Linked DNA regions of Canis lupus familiaris. The protein of the gene in region 2 purifies or fractionates together with the protein of the main gene of each other region. This does not show direct contact. Links are inferred from orthologs where the notes say so. Each region holds a gene or a part of one and is shown on either strand. Other genes may lie near its edges.

The links.
Region 1: the proteins of HADHA (region 2) and GPC1 purify together in Homo sapiens (co-immunoprecipitation; 3 studies listed by BioGRID and IntAct, with this or other methods). This does not show direct contact. The link is inferred for Canis lupus familiaris from reciprocal best matches to the Homo sapiens genes HADHA and GPC1.

The regions. Positions count from the first base shown.
Region 1 is NC_049246.1:50,781,544-50,789,454, forward strand, and holds the start of GPC1 (glypican-1), read left to right. Parts: upstream 1-2,820; coding exon 2,821-2,986; intron 2,987-7,911. Other genes in the region: proline-rich protein HaeIII subfamily 1-like, read right to left, coding at 1,340-1,688, 1,821-2,016, 2,729-2,822. UniProt on the Homo sapiens protein: Cell surface proteoglycan that bears heparan sulfate. Binds, via the heparan sulfate side chains, alpha-4 (V) collagen and participates in Schwann cell myelination.
Region 2 is NC_049238.1:20,375,233-20,382,608, reverse strand, and holds part of HADHA (trifunctional enzyme subunit alpha, mitochondrial), read left to right. Parts: intron 1-1,135; coding exon 1,136-1,222; intron 1,223-4,768; coding exon 4,769-4,909; intron 4,910-5,256; coding exon 5,257-5,325; intron 5,326-6,052; coding exon 6,053-6,248; intron 6,249-6,950; coding exon 6,951-7,065; intron 7,066-7,376. UniProt on the Homo sapiens protein: Mitochondrial trifunctional enzyme catalyzes the last three of the four reactions of the mitochondrial beta-oxidation pathway.

The DNA.
Region 1 (7,911 bases), on a different chromosome or scaffold from region 2:
CACCCCAAAGCGGGCAGGGGTGGTCCCATCCCACCCCAGAGCTCCCCACGGTGAACCCACCCCACTCCCACAGCTGCTCCTGCGCAGCTGATGGAGGTCGTGGGTGACAGCATGGGGGGTTGGGGAACTAACCTCCCCAGTGTGACCCAGCCCGGCTCCCGATGCCCCAGCCGCTTGGGCCACACTGTGTCCAGGCCTGGCCACCAGGCACCCCTCATCCAGGGCCATCCTAGACGGGCACGAAACCTGAACGTCCAGGCCCGCGGGGGCAGGCAGGGCGCCGACAGAGTCGGGGTGCCAGGAGCAGGAGGGCTCTGCGGCACCTGGGGCAGCTGCTCGGGGACCACCGCTCATGTCTGTAAAGCAGAACGCCCCTCGGGTGGGGGAGCAAGGAAGGCTCTGTGGGCCAGGCAACCGGACAAAAAGGATGGACACGGATTCTGCATTGCACCCAACACTTCCTCCCCGTGTGCCGGCGGCGGGGTCCCCACACCTGGCCGCCTTCAGCAGAGCCACCTGCAGCAGTGACCGCCTAGCGGCCACGAGTCTGCCACTGTCTCGCCAGCTGCCCCCTGCACTTGGCCTCCTTGCTGCTTGTCAACAAGGCTCTTTGCCAGGTGCAGCCCCATCAGAGCTGGGGGATCCCCCCACTGGCTGCCCCCCGCTCCCTGGCCATGTACCAGCCCCGCGGAGAGGCTCTGGTCACAGCTCCTCTCCTTGCCCCCGACTCACACCGTAGTGACTCGGAGGAGACCTTGCAGGTAGTGAGAGGATCTCTCCGGGGGATGGAGCCCCGCTACACCGAGGAGGTGCCCCAGCGGGGCCGTCCTGGCAACCTGCCATGTAAGCGTGGCCGTGGACACTCTGGCCACGCTGCTGTCTGAAGACCCGGAAATGCGCTGGACACCGACCCCGCCCTGAGGAATTTCCCAGGCTCCCTGGATTAAGCGGTGGCAACAGCGATCACCATAACAACAGGACAGAGAGCGCCTCGGGCGGGTTAAGCCCCAGTCCAGGCCCCCGCGGGACAGGGAGGCACGTGGCCGGGGGTGAGCCCCTGGACAGGGCCTGGGCCAGTGTTCCTACCCCTCCCCGGGTGGCCCGAGCCAGGCAGGCACGTGGTGTGGAGGGGGGAGGTGTCCAGGTGGCTGAGCCAGGCCTAGGCAAGAAGGAGCAGGCCCGTGTGCGCGTGTGTGTGTGTGTGTGTGTGTGTGTAAGCTCGCACACGCACGCGCTCTACAGGGGTCTGTGAGTCACTGACACGATGAGGCAGCAGGTGCGTGGGGAGGGCAGGAGGTCTGTACCCTGGGTTGGGTCCCCACAGCCTCCATACAATGACTCAGTGTCTCTGGGTGAAGGGAGCAGCCTGCGCGGGAGGCAGGCAGGAGACCCCAGGCCCCTCCTGGGGCTGCGGAGGGCCGGAGCCCCCTCCCTGCACGCGGCCCACACCGCTGATGTGTGTGGGGAGCACCGGGGTGGGGGGCTGCTCCTGGCAGGACGTGAGGCCGGGTGCCCCGTGCCACGCAGCGGGCATCTCTGGGTCCTCCACCGGGGGTGCCCACTTATTGCGTTGCTCCATTTGTGCCAGCGAGGCATCTGGCCTGGCGGCCTGGCGGTCTCTGCGGCCTTTGCCCACATGGCAGGGGGGGCGGCAGGAGGCCAGGGCGGGGGTGCACGGCTGGGGAAGGCTGGGGAGGAGAGGAGCAGAGAAGACGCGGCCTCAGCTCCTCACCCCCGCCCCGACCGCGTCCCCACTGCCCCCTGCCTCCGCGGGGGCCCCCGGCCCTCGGGCCTGCACCCGGCCTCCCCCGCTCCCTGACCTGTCGCTGGCCCCGGCCTCATCCCCTCCCAGGGCGGCCCGCCCCGCCCCGCGACCCGAGCGGGCAGACACGGCCCACGTCGGTCGCACTTGTGTCTCCCCGCGGAGGGGACCCGGGCCCGCTGGCCGGCGGCAACCACCAAGTGGTCGGGGCCTCGTCCCGGGCGGGAAAGGTGGGGCCCGGGGTCCCCGCTCGGCTGCGGCGTCAGAGTGAGCGTCAGGTGCGAGCCGGAGCCGCGGGAGGGGCGCCCGGGGCGCACCCAGGGCGCGGGGAGGGGGCGCGGGGGAGGCGGCGCTGCGGGAGCGGCGGGCGGGGCGCGCTGCCAGGGTGCGGGGAGGCCGGGGGCGGGGCCGGGGGCGGGGCCGGGGCGGGGCCGGGGCGGGGCCGGGGGCGGGGCCGGGCCGGGGGAGCCCCTGATAGGCGCGCGGCGCGCGTGACGTCACGTCCGGCGGGGGAAGCCCTGCCTCGGCTCCCCGCCCCCGCCCCGCCCCCTCAGGTGCAGCCGCCGCCCCGGGCCCCGGGCGTGGGGGGGCGCGTCCCCGGGGACCCCGGCCCGGCCCGCGCCGCCCCCTCCGCGCAGTCCCGCCCCCCCCCTCCCCGGGCGGCCCGGCCCGGCTGCAGCTCGCCCGCCGCGCCCCGCCCCTGCGCGCCCCGCCCCGCCCCGCCCCGCCCCGCCCCGCCCCTGCGCGCCCCGCCCCGCCCCCTCCGGCCGCGAGGGGCCGGGCCCCGGCAGGGGAGGCGCCGAGCCGGGACTGCGCGCTCGCCCCGCCGCGCCGTGTGCCGCCGACCGAGCGGCCGGACCTCGCGCCCCGCGCCCCGCGCCCCGCGCCCCGCGCCCCGCGCCCCGCGCCCCGCGCCGCCGCCGGCTTTTGTTGTGGCGGCTCCTGGGCCGCGGGCCGCGCCGGGACCTTGGCTCTGCCCTTCGCGGGCGGGGGCTGCGCGGCCCCGGGCGGGATCCGAGGGCGGCGCGCGGGCGGGCGGGCGGGCGGGCGGCCCCGCCATGGAGCCGCGGGCCCGAGGCTGGTGGCTGCTGTGCGCGGCCGCCGCGCTGGCCGCCTGCGCCCGCGGGGACCCCGCCAGCAAGGGCCGCAGCTGCAGCGAAGTCCGCCAGGTCTACGGCGCCAAGGGCTTCAGCCTGAGCGACGTGCCCCAGGCGGAGATCTCGGGTGAGTGAGGGCGCGGCGCCCCCTGCGCCCTGGACCCCGCGCCCCGCGCCCTGCACCCCGCGCCCCCGCGCCCCGCGCCCCCCCGCCCCCGCCCCCGCGGGGACCCGGAGGGAGGCGGCGCCCCCGACCCCCCCAGGCGGCCCTCGGGCCTCTCGGGGAGCCGCCCCGGCCCGGCCCGAGGCTTCCCGCGGGGCCCCGGCGACGGCAGCCCGCGTGCGCGCAGCCGGGCCCCCCCCCCGCCCCGGGTCCTGGGCGGCGCGGGGCCCCCGCGGGGTGCGGCGCGAGCTGCGCGCGGGGGCGGGGGCGCCGCGACCTCGGCCCCGCGCTCCTGCCCGCGGAACTTGTGCGCGCCGCCGGCCTGGCCCTCGCGCTGCCTCCGGCGGGGAGTCGAGCTGCAGGTGGTCGCGCCTTGGATCCCGCCCAGGGGCCGCGTCTTTTCTTTGTACGAGCGTCGACCCTCCCAGGCATCCTCAGCCCTGCAGCTGCCCGCGGGCCCGCCCGCCCCCTCCCTGCAGGCCTCGGAGGAGCTTTGCCGCCAGCCTGTGTGCGGGTGTGCGGGTGGGGGGTGGATGCAGCGTCCCACGGACCACCCAGACCCCCGGGCTCCTCGCAGTGGGAAGGCGCGGGTGCCCGGGCGCGGTGGACAAGAGCAGAGCCAGATTCCTCCAGGGAGAGGTGGCTCCCCAAGTAGGGGGAAGCTGCAGGGAAGGGCTCTGCTCTGCTCTGCTGGGATGGAGACCCGCGGCCGGGGGCAGGGGGTGCAGGGGGGCCGGGGGTGACCCCGCTACAGACCCCGTGGGGTCCCTGACCACGCCTTGCTGGGGAGGGGGAGGAAGCCAGCCTGGTCCTGGCCCAGGCTCCGGAAGGTGGGGCACCCTGAGGGCTGCCTTGAGAGATCTTTGAACTACCCGCCCCCCGCCCCGGGGTTCAGGAGAGGCCCCCTCCGGAGGACCCCAAGCAGCCCTTCTGTGTCTCGCTCCGCTGAGAGTTCCTGTGTAGGACCGCCTCTCTGCCGGGACAGCCTGGTGGGCATGCTGGGCGCCGGGGCCAGCACGGGGCCTTGTGCACAGCTTGGTGTGTGCTCCGCTCCCACACGGGCACAGGAACTTTCTCCTGGGTGTCCCTGGCCTTCTCGCTGGGCCCTGCCCCAGCTGCCCCCCGCCCAGCCCCGGATCTCGGGTGGAAGCCTTCCCCCGTGCGTCTCCTTCTTGTATCCACTCCCACTTGGCCGCTGGGTCTTTACCGACCATCCTGAACTTACTCGAGTCCACAGGCCTCTGTCCTGGCTAGGCCGAGAGCAGGGTGGCAGCAGGGTGGCAGCGTCTGGGCAGCTGCCAAGGGCTGGGAGAGAGTGGGGCAAACAGGGCGCGGGGGGAGGCTGAGCTGGGAGCTGGGTCTCGTCCACATTGGGGTGGGGTGCAGTGGATTAGGGGCCCCGTCAGAGTGCATGGTGGTCTGAGTGTGACGGGTAGAGATGGGGTGCTGCGTGTGCAGCTGGGGGAGTAGGTCACCCAGCAGCTGTCCCAGCATCGTACTGGCCGGGGCCTCGGCTGCCGCCCTCCTCGGGGCCTGGAAGGCCAGGGACTGTGCCCCCCGCAGGGCTACCGCCCTCCCTGCCTGCGCCCCCTCTCCCCGAGCCCCAGGGCTCCTCCATCCCAGGAGCTACTCTCCCCGACTCCTGTGGCCAGAGCCCCCGTGGGCCTGGAGCTCCAGAGCCCCCCCGGGGCCCAGGCGCCGAGATGAGTGCCAGCGCCACGTGGAGCAGAGGATACAGGGTGACCTCGCGGGGCAGCAGCAAGCCCGAGTCCCCTCCTGTTGCAACTGGGCCCCGCGTCCGTGGGCCAGGCGCCCTCTGCTGGCCCCGTGCGGCACGCGCCTCCGGGGAGCCCCGCCTGGGTCTCCTCTCCCAGGGGCCTGCCCCCCCAACTCCTCCCGCGTGGGGCCTGGGGTCACCCCCCTGGTGCCAACCCCCGCTGACTCAGCTGGCCCAGGCCCCGAGGAGCCGCCGGGAGGCGAGGAGGTGGCGTTGGCTCTGCGGGCGGTGCTTACAGCCTGTGTCCGTCCGGGGACCAGAAGCAATGGTGGGCGTGTGAGTGGGGCGTCAGGGTGCCTGGGGCTCCCGTCCGAGAGCCCGTGTGGTTTCCTTGGACGGCCGTGCCTGGCACTTGGTGCTGACGGCTGTCGTTGTACAGGTGAGGGAGCAGCAAGCAGGCCTGGGGGGCAGCAGCCAAAGGCCGGGGGGCTCCCTCCCTCGGGCGCCCGTGCTTCAGAGAAAGTGAGGGTCACCGGGGTCCCTGTGCCAGGCGCCGGGCAAGCGCAGGGCCCCTGCTGAATCACACGCCCACTGGCACCCCGCCCGCCAGCTTGCTCCTGGTTTCCAGACGCCTCCTCAGCCCCAGCCCGGCCTCCCGACACTCAGTGACCGGCCTCATACGGCTCTGACCCTCCGCGGGGGCGCTGGGGACGGGGACCACCCCTGGCCGCAGGCTTCTCTGCTGTAGCCACGGGGGCTGGTGCAGTGACCGGCGCCAGGGAGGGTCTCAGTGAGCAGCTGGGGACCCACGCAGGTACCACGCTCTGCCGGGCCACGCAGGGTCAGCATGGGGGGAGGAGGAAGGCCTGGACAGAGGAGGGGTCTAGAGGTCCAGCCCCGGGGCTTGGTGCCGTGAGAACCGCTTGGCTGCCCTTCTGCCCTGGGGCTGAGGCCTACCTGCCAGCAAGAGTGGGTCCCAGGGTCCCGTGGACCCCACAGCAGGGACCACCTCTGGGTGCGCTGGCTCTGACCTCAGGTGGGGTGGGGTCTGGGGGAGGGTCCCAGAAAGGGCCATCCTGGCTTCACCCAAAGGAACCCACCTGGACTCTGTCTGGGGCTGTGGTCTGCGGGGCTCTCACAAGCCACCAGGCACGTGGCCTGGTCCCAGACCACGAAGTTCTGTGTACCCCGTCCTGTTCAGAAGCAGGAAGCACCCCGTGTGCCCGGCTCGGGTCCCCAGGCGGTCCTCGGCCCCCAACCGCACCGCTGCTCTGTCCCCCCGCCGCTCGAGGACCTGTGGTTTCATCATCCCCGGCTTTGAGGCGGGGGGAAGCCCAGGGGAGCCAGGATTTGACGGGGCCACCTGCATGATGCAACGGTCTGAGCACCTTGCTGGACACGTTGCCACGCTCCTGCGAGACGAGGGGCCTCCTCCCTGGGCCTTGGTTCACGTGACAGTCCTGCTGTGCAAGCCGCCCGCCGCACTTGGCCTCTCTGTGCCTCTGCTTCCTCGCACGCCCCAAGGGGACTAGTCACAAGCCCCCGAAGGTCCCCAGGAGGGGCGCTGGCCCCACGCACTGTGCAGCTGGCCCCACGGGTAACCCCCCTTGGCCCTGCCCTGAGGTCTTTGCAGGCCGTGCAGACCCGTCGGTCAGTGGCGTCCGGCTCTTGACAGGCCTCGTTCTGACCCACACTCACCGCGCATCTGCCTGTGGGGTCAGACGAGAGAAGGTCTTCGTGGACCTGACTGACGAGGAGGACGCCCCGGGACGCCATGTAGCCCCCTGTTGACCCCAAAGCCTGTGCCGTTCGCCGCCGCCCAGTCCTGGGCCGTGAGTGTCCTGGAGGCCCAGGCCCTGGGAGACCCCCGCTGCCTCCTCCTGCTGCCTCTCGGGGCCCGGCTCCGTCTCTGCGCCCCGCTCGGAACACGTGCTGACGGGCACCCCCCGCGGCCTCTGATCCGGCCTCCCGGCCTCCATCGGGGCTGCGCTCTGGGTGAATCAGCCCTCCGGTAGCTGGGCCTCGTCCTCCGCCTCGTCCCGATTCCCGTCGGTGGAGGCCAGCTCCTCGGGCCTCGGGGCCTGGGTCAGGTGGCCCCGGGCGTACGGGGACGGCCCGGCTGTGCGTCGCTGGCCAGCAGGTCCGCGGCAGCGCCACGCCGGCCCCGTCCCCCGGGACCCACGGACAAATCAGGGGCGAGTGAGCCTGGGTGGCGGGGGACGTCCATCGGGCTCCGGGCTGGCGCCAGTTAAGGAACCGCGGACGCCGGAGGTTGACAGGCCTTCGGGGTCACACGGGCCTCCGGGGAGGGGCCTGGGACACACGGGCCGGGCAGCGGGCTGGGCTTCAGAGCCAGCAGCAGAGCACGGTTGCGGTGTGGGTGCCCACGCTCGTGCAAGGACATCCACGCCCACAGGCACGGGTGTGAGCCTGGCTGCAGCCAGGAGAGGGACTCCCCCAGGCCGCCGCGAGCCGGGAGGGCCGTGGGGCGAGCCTCCGCCTTCCCCGGGCCTGGACATGCCCAGGCATCAGGAGGACGGGCTCCTCTCCCGGGCCCGGCTCGGCGCTGCGTGATTTCACCGGACCCCGCGGCCCCGTCCAGCCCCCCTCGCCGGGCGCCCCCCGGCTCACGCCCAGCCGTCGGCACAGCCGGGGGGTCAGGCCGTGCCCACGTTTGGGAGAAGAGCCAGGCTGAGGGCGGGAGGGCTGCAGCCCGAGGCCACCCACCCTAGAAGCCGCTCCTGGCTGCCGCGGTGGCTGGCGGCCTTTCCTGCCGAGTTTGTGAACAGGCCTGGGCAGGGGCCCCGAGCTGCCGGAAGTCTCCGGGGGGCGGGGGCGGGGGGTGCTTCCTCCCGCCCCAGGCCGTACCCCACCACCTTCCCAGGTGGGAAGCCGCGGCAGGCAGGTGTGAGCCAGGGCGGGCACGGCCTCCCCTGTGTCCTCTGCAAGGGGGCGCAGGGCCTGGGCTGTGGTGCTGGGGAGGCTGCGGTGGGGCGCACGCGGGCTCTCCCCGCAGGAATCCCGTGGGGGGGTCTAGGAGCCCTGCGGGGCCAGCTCAGCCCCATCCCCTCCTCTGCCCCTGGCCTCGGGGTCACCCCCTAGCTCCTGGCTGGCTCGCCTTCCTGGCACACACACCCCCTCCCACCAAGTAGGTCTCCCTATGCCCACCCAC
Region 2 (7,376 bases):
AAGGCCTGGCCCAGAGCTTCAGAGTGTCACTCCTGCTTTCCATTGGTAAAAGCAAGTCACAAGATTCAAGAGGGAGGAAGTAGACAATACCTCTGGAGCGGGGGAGAGCCACGTGTGAACCAGGAAGGGAGGACTGTTGCCTGCTCTCTTTGGAGATATTGGTCCACTCTTCATGGAGACTTTCCCCACCAGAATAAGATGCCATACCTCTCAGACATGCCACTTGAGACTCTTCCTTGCGGTCACGCTCTGCTTTCGACTTCACACTTCTGATTAAAATCATGGGGGCCTGATCACAAGCTGATTGCTGAGCCAGGTTTTGTCCAACAGGTGCCTCTCTAGGTTTTTCCCTTTTTTCTTTATAAAAAAATATTGATATGGTATTTGACCTTTATCTTCCTTATAATTGATGTTATTTTACGCTCAGCTCTTTAGTGTGTTGCATGTATTTTGAACCTTGATTCCTGTCTCTGATGTTAGGATTTTGCCTGTCCCGGTTTGCACAAATTTGACAGGTGTGCCTTCCGTGTGTTTTATGCATGCAGCTGAATAAAAATTTAATAACTTGGGATCATGAACAGAATGCTGAGACAGTCTATGTTAGAGTTTTTCTCCAGGGTGATAAAGCTAACAGTTAATAGTATTCATGTGCCGTAGATTAATTACAGTGGTGTCCAGTTTTCTAACAGTACCCTGTATAAAATGAGCTAGGCATGCATGTTATGACTTGTTCTTAGAAAAGTAAAGGGTGCGGGTATCATGAACTTCTGGATTCAAGGGCAGATCTGAGCAAGAAGAGGGATTGGCACATAGGCTGGATCTTGAAACGAATGAGATTTAACTCAAGGTGATCTCTTCAGTGTTTATCTGAAGTGTCTTATTTACCTAACTGCTGAGATGTAGTCTCTGGGTTAGGAAGGATGCTGAGCCAGAGATGGAAGGAGGCTGAATGGGAAAGAGAACAAGGTCACACACAGAAGCCCTGGGTGGTTATAAATATCAGGTGAATAGTGTCTCCTGTCTGAGTGGCTGTGGGGAGAGCAGGGCCAGGCCCAGGTCTCATACTTTAGCTTTGCTTCAGACTCCAGTCATCTCCCGGGTTTATGTGACATTCTTAAATGCTTTTCCCCTGCAGGTGATTCCAGGTCACTGTGTCTTTGCCAGTAACACATCTGCTCTCCCAATCAATGAAATTGCTGCTGCCAGCAAAAGACCTGAGAAGGTAAATTCTGAACAGAGGAAAGACCCTGAACTGTTTTCCTATTACAGGCTCTCAGAGGAAGGTTTAGAGCATGAGAAGGGCCTGTGTGGATTGTGAAGTGAAGGGAGTGATGAGGTTTTCTCCAAAACTGGGCATAGAGAAACTAATACCATGACCATTCAAGATGCTGGGATAAGTGAAATGAACTATAACCAAAATAAGCTTTTCTAGGTGATCTGCATTCCAAGGTTCGGACTATAAAGCGTACCTTTATTACAATTAGGTATTTAAAGATAGGTCCAAGGAGCACCTGGCTGGCCGAGTTGGTAGCATATGACTCTTGATCTCAGGGTTGTGAATTTGTGTCCCATATTGGGTGAAGAGAGTACTCTAAAAATTTTTTTAAATTAAAAAATAATAAAGATAGACCCTAAAATAAAAAGGGATACTCCAGAATATCACTTCAGCTACAGAGTAGACACTGCTAATGATCTAAGACATGTTTGGTTCCAATCCCACATCCAAGAATAGAAGATCAGGAGGTGGGATGCCTGGGTGACTCAGTGGTTGAGTGTCTGCCTTCAGCTCAGGTTGTGATCCCGGAATTCCGGGATCAAGTACCGCATTGGGTTCCCTGCATGGAGCCTGCTTCTCCCTCTGCCTGTGTCTCTGCCTGTCTCTTTTTGTGTTTCTCATAAATAAATAAAGAAAATCTTAAAAAAAAAAGAAGAAGAAGAAGAAGATCAGGAGGTGTGGTGAGGTGTGTCCACCTATGGGTTCACTTAGAATTTCTACCCAGGACATGCAAAGGTAGAAGCACTTTAAGTATTTGGAATGATGCTTAGACATTTCTCTTTGGGCGTCTGCTGGACTAGAGCAACCTAGGGAAAGTGAAGGCACTCAAGGAGAAATGAAATACCTCACGTCTCTGGAGGATAGCAATTAGCCTTAGGTAACCAGAGCCAGCCAAAAGTAGGCAGGAAATATAAGAGACCTGTAAGCAGCTAAAATTGTTAATACAGAGTCCTTGTACTGAAAACACAAAAGTCTGTTTATTCCTATTCTAATAGTTTGGTAATACAAGGTAATCTTGTTTCCTCACACATAGCAGATTGGAAGTGATGTGGGGCCTGACAGGCAAGTGCAGGGATGGCAGGAAAAGGTCATAAGGAGAAGTGGCAGCTGATAATGTTACACTAAGGGAAGATACAACAACAGTATAAAGGGAGATGACAATCTGGCCATGTCACATCACTCAAAGCACCTCTGCAGCATTTTAAGTCAGTAAAGGAGAACCTTTGATGCTAACTTCTCATTTTCCAGTGGGAAAAGTATCATGCTTTGCAGTCCTGGCCTCCAGGTATCTTGGATAGCTTCCATAAGTCATCTGCTTCCCCTATCTCATATAAAATTAAGGGCAAAGGGTCACAGGTTGGGTGATCAGCCATCTGCTTATCCAGAACAAGTTGGTCACCTCTGGCAGAGCTTTCTTGAGTGATGAAAAATGGATTTTGCTTGAGGCAGTGATTATATGGGTGTATATACAAAACTCATTGAAATGAACACTTATACACTTATTGTGTATAAGTTATATATCATAAAAGCTAATCCCTTTTGCTTAGAAGTACTGAGTCTGAAACAGGTTTGGTTTTTTAAAAAATCATTTAGACATAAATTAAAGAACGTTTAGGATTTAGAAGCAACTTTTGGATTGGTAAGTTTATGAAACATTTAAGTGACCTATGTGTTACATAATGGAGAGTAGGCAGGCTCTGGAGACAGGCTAACTGTGATGGAATCCCATTGCCATCCACTGACTGGCCCTGAGCTACTAGTTTTAACCTCCTGATGTCTTTTTTCCTCATCTAGGTAGGACTGACTAGTTCACAGAGTGATGGATTAAATGTAGGGAATTAATGGCAATTGTATTAAAGAACAGTGGATAGCCAGTAATCAGCAAATGGTAGATATCGTTAATTATATCTCACAGCTAAAATGAGGGTAGACAGAGCAAAACTCTAAGTTTTATGATTAAATTGTTTTCTTCCATGGCAATTCACTTGGGAGGACTGTTAGCCTGAGGAGGAGGTTCTGAACTTCAGCATGTATTAGAATCACCTGGAAGGCTTCTTAAACACAGATCTGGGCCCTGCCCTGTCTCTCATTCAGTAGATCTGGGTCTGGGGTGGGCCTGAGCATCTGTAGTTCTAAATTTCCCAGGCAGTGCTAATGCTGCTGGTCAAGTTACTTCATTAGTGTAATGAATCTTCAGGCACATTTGAATGTTGATAAATCTTAAAAAAACAAACAAACATTTATTAGAAAGAGAGCTATGAGGTGGGACTTGGTGGGGAGAGGCAGAGAGAGAGAGAGAATCCCAAGCAGACTCCCCTTGAGCGTAGAGCTTGACACAGTGCTCAATCTTACAACCCCGAGACTAAAATCAAGAATTGGAAGCTGAGGGCAGCCCCGGTGGCGCAGCGGTTTAGCGCCGCCTGCAGCCCGGGGTCTGATCCTGGAGACCTGGGATCGAGTCCCGCGTCAGGCTCCCTGCATGGAGCCTGCTTCTCCCTCTGCCTGTGTCTCTGCTTCTCTCTATGTGTCTCTATGAATAAATAAATAAAATCTTAAAAAAAAAAAATTGGAAGCTGAACCAGCTGAGCCACCTAGGCATCCCTGCATGTCGATAAATGTTATTTAAACCCAGGATCCTGGGTGCCTGGGTGGCTCAGGAGTTGAGCATCTGCCTTCTGCTCAGGTCGTGGTCCCGGGGTCCCAGGATCGAGTCCCACATCAGACTCCTCGCAGGGAGCCTGCTTCTTCCTCTACCTGTGTCTCTGGCTCTCTGTCTCTCTCTCTCTCTCTCTCTCTCTCTCATGAATAAATAAATAAAATCTTTAAAAAAAAATAAACCCAGTATCCTGCTGGTGAGACCCATCTGTGTAAAATCCAAATACATCTCTGACAGTCTAGCATATTGACAGATTCTTCTGCCTACCTCGGTTTCCCCTGTCCTCAAAAAAAAAATGGCCCTAGGGCAGCCCCGGTGGCGCAGCGGTTTAGCACCGCCTGCAGCCTGGGGTGTGATCCTGGAGACCTGGAATCAAGTCCCACATCGGGCTTCCTGTATGGAGCCTGCTTCTCCCTCTGCCTGTGTCTCTGCCCCTCTCTCTCTGTCTCTATGAATAAATAAAATCTTAAAAAAAAAAAAAAAAAGTGTCCCCTCTAAACCAACAGTATCATTAATATGAGTGGAACTTTCATTCATTCTTCCCTGATAAATCTAATTTGGCCATGAGCTGTGATTTTGGCACTAATTCTTGGTAGAATCTATCACCCTCAGTGAAAAACCTTAGAAGCAGTTGGAAGAGGAAGATTCCAGTGAGCCCTCTGAACATACTGAACTTTTTATCAAAAAACCACAGAGCCAAACCACTCAACTGGATCAAGCAGTATTCCTGTATCACGACCACCTTTCTCTCCCTTGCTTTCCTGGCCAAAAATGAGTGCTATCCAGTTCCCTCCTCAGCGTTGTTACATCTGTTGGCTTTGTACTCCCCTTGCCAGGTGATTGGCATGCACTACTTCTCTCCTGTGGACAAGATGCAGCTACTGGAGATTATTACAACAGATAAAACGTCTAAGGACACCACTGCTTCAGCGGTAGCTGTCGGGCTCAAGCAGGGGAAGGTCATCATTGTGGTGAAAGTAAGGAGCTGTATAACAACAGAGTGACAGATGTGGGGAAAGTTCTGTTAAGATTCCTTGTACCTCCAGGCTTGTTTTGCCTATGTTTGCCTCAGAATCATACCAAACAACCTTTTGGTATGATTTTTCCCTTAGTTGTCTACAGTGTGGACAGTGGTATGGACTGAACTGCTAAGTCAGGGTCTGGGACATCGCAGGTTCTCCCAGCCATGCTGCCCTGGTTGGGGCTTCCCGTGCATTATAGTTGTAACAGTTCTGTTTGGGAAGATACACCACCTTGAATTTTGAAATGACATGTGGGGAAAAGAGCCTGCTTTCAGATTCTTCCACATTATCTCCCTTGGCAGGATGGACCTGGCTTCTACACCACCAGGTGCCTTGCACCCATGATGTCTGAAGTCCTCAGAATCCTCCAGGTTGGTACTGCTTTTGGAACATTGGAGACATCTTCCACTCCTTAAACCAGTCCTCTGACTGGTACTGTCAGGATGAGGAATGGGCTTCCTTCTAATACACTAAGTCCTGGCTCTTCTCTGAGGGAGCCCTTTTGTACCCAATCCTTCCACATAGTGGTAGAAAATCATGAGCTTTGCTGCCCTCCAATGGGCAGAATTTTAGCTCTGCTTCTTTAGCTGCATCCCCTTAGAGGCAGGAGCCATCCAGAACAGATAAGCCCACTTGGTCTGATCGGTGCTGGAGCAGCTTCTGCTGCACACACACCCCACGGGTGGTACCTCCTCGCTGGGCACTTACCAGACACAGGCTCCAGGGGTCTGCAACACTGCTCTGTGGTGCTGTCTCCTCTCTTACTTATGGGAAATTTAGCCTTGTCTGCCATGGAATCTCATTACTACTGAGAGTCAGAATTGCAAACAAGGAAACGAATAAAGTGTTCATTCTAAATGAATTTGTTCATTCCTTTAAGTGCCTTAGGTTAGGGAAGGCTCAGACTTTCCCTCCTTTGCTTTCCCTGAGTGAAACAGCCCCAAGTCTGGGCCTGGCTAGGTGGTACCCAGGAGAAAAGTGAGTGTTGGACTGGTTCTGTTTCTAATCATCAGCATGGGAGCCCTCGTAGGAGGGTCTGGAATGGGTGCCACCCCCCCACCCCCACCCTACTAAGGTCCCTGCTTCCATCCCATTCAGGAAGGAGTTGAGCCTAAGAAGCTGGATTCCCTTACCACAAGCTTTGGCTTTCCTGTGGGTGCTGCCACACTGGTCGATGAAGTTGGTGTGGATGTAGCAAAACATGTATCAGAAGATCTGGGCAAAGCCTTTGGGGAACGGTTTGAAGGTGGAAACATAGAACTGCTGAAGGAGATGGTGTCCAGGGGCTTCCTGGGTGAGTAGCCTCAGAGAAACATAACTAACACCATGAGAACAAAGTTTCCTGAAACACACAGTTACAGAAAGCCCTGGGGGAGTTTTTCCTAAAACCAGAGCCCACTATTATGGGGATTTTTTTAAAAATGGTTTCATGACCACCTCTTAGGCTGGGCCTATAGCTTACAGACCAAAGGCAGAACTCTGGCCTGAGGAATTGACCAAGGTCTGCAAGGCAGGCATTTTCATTTGGCCCCAGTCCTAGAGTACGCCTGTGATCCTGCAGGAGCGAGCTCTGTACCCGGGCTTTACCATGCTGCCTGGCCACCTGTGTGGAAAAAGTAATACCTCTAAACAAAATACGATTGAGGCCCACTAGAGGTGGCTTTCTCTCTTGGCAAAGTAGCAGCAAAATCCACACCAGGACCAGGGCATAGACTAGGTCCTGGTATTGCATATCTGGACATTAAAGCTCACCCACGTGGCCGTTCCCATCCACATACATGGATTCCCAAGCTCCAAGAAACACAAGATCTTTTTTCCTTCTTTGCCAACTCTGCTGACAAAACACTAAGTTTTGACAAATACTAAATGTCTAGGGTTAGCTAGATAGACAAATTCAGAAATATGGTTGAGAGACTAGAGCGTTACAGCAGACTAGCAGAGAAGAAAATTCGCAGGTCTGGGCTCTGAGATTTGGTAATTCTCCCTTTTCTTTTAGGTCGCAAGTCTGGGAAAGGCTTTTACATCTACCAGGAGGGTGTGAAGACTAAGAATGTGAATTCTGACATGGATGGTATTTTGGCAAGTCTGAAGGTGCCCCCTAAGTATGGCGTGTGAGTGAACTTTAGTAGCTAATAGTGTGGGAACAGGTTTCTCTTCAGTCCTCTTCCATCTTCTCTGTGATAATCACCTTACCTGACCAGAATACTTTTGCCCTCTCCCATGCTATCTCGGTTTCTGCCACGCGTCAGGGTAAGGATAGTAGCTGAGCCTTAGAAAGACCCCTGCTCCAGCCTTCCCTCTGAAGGTCTGGAGAGCAACAAAAAGACGATTATCCTAGGTCCCTTGATCCCCCCGCCCCAACCCTTTCGATCATTTGTAATTGACAGTTGATGGTGTCTAGAGAGTCTCTCCATTCTGCCCA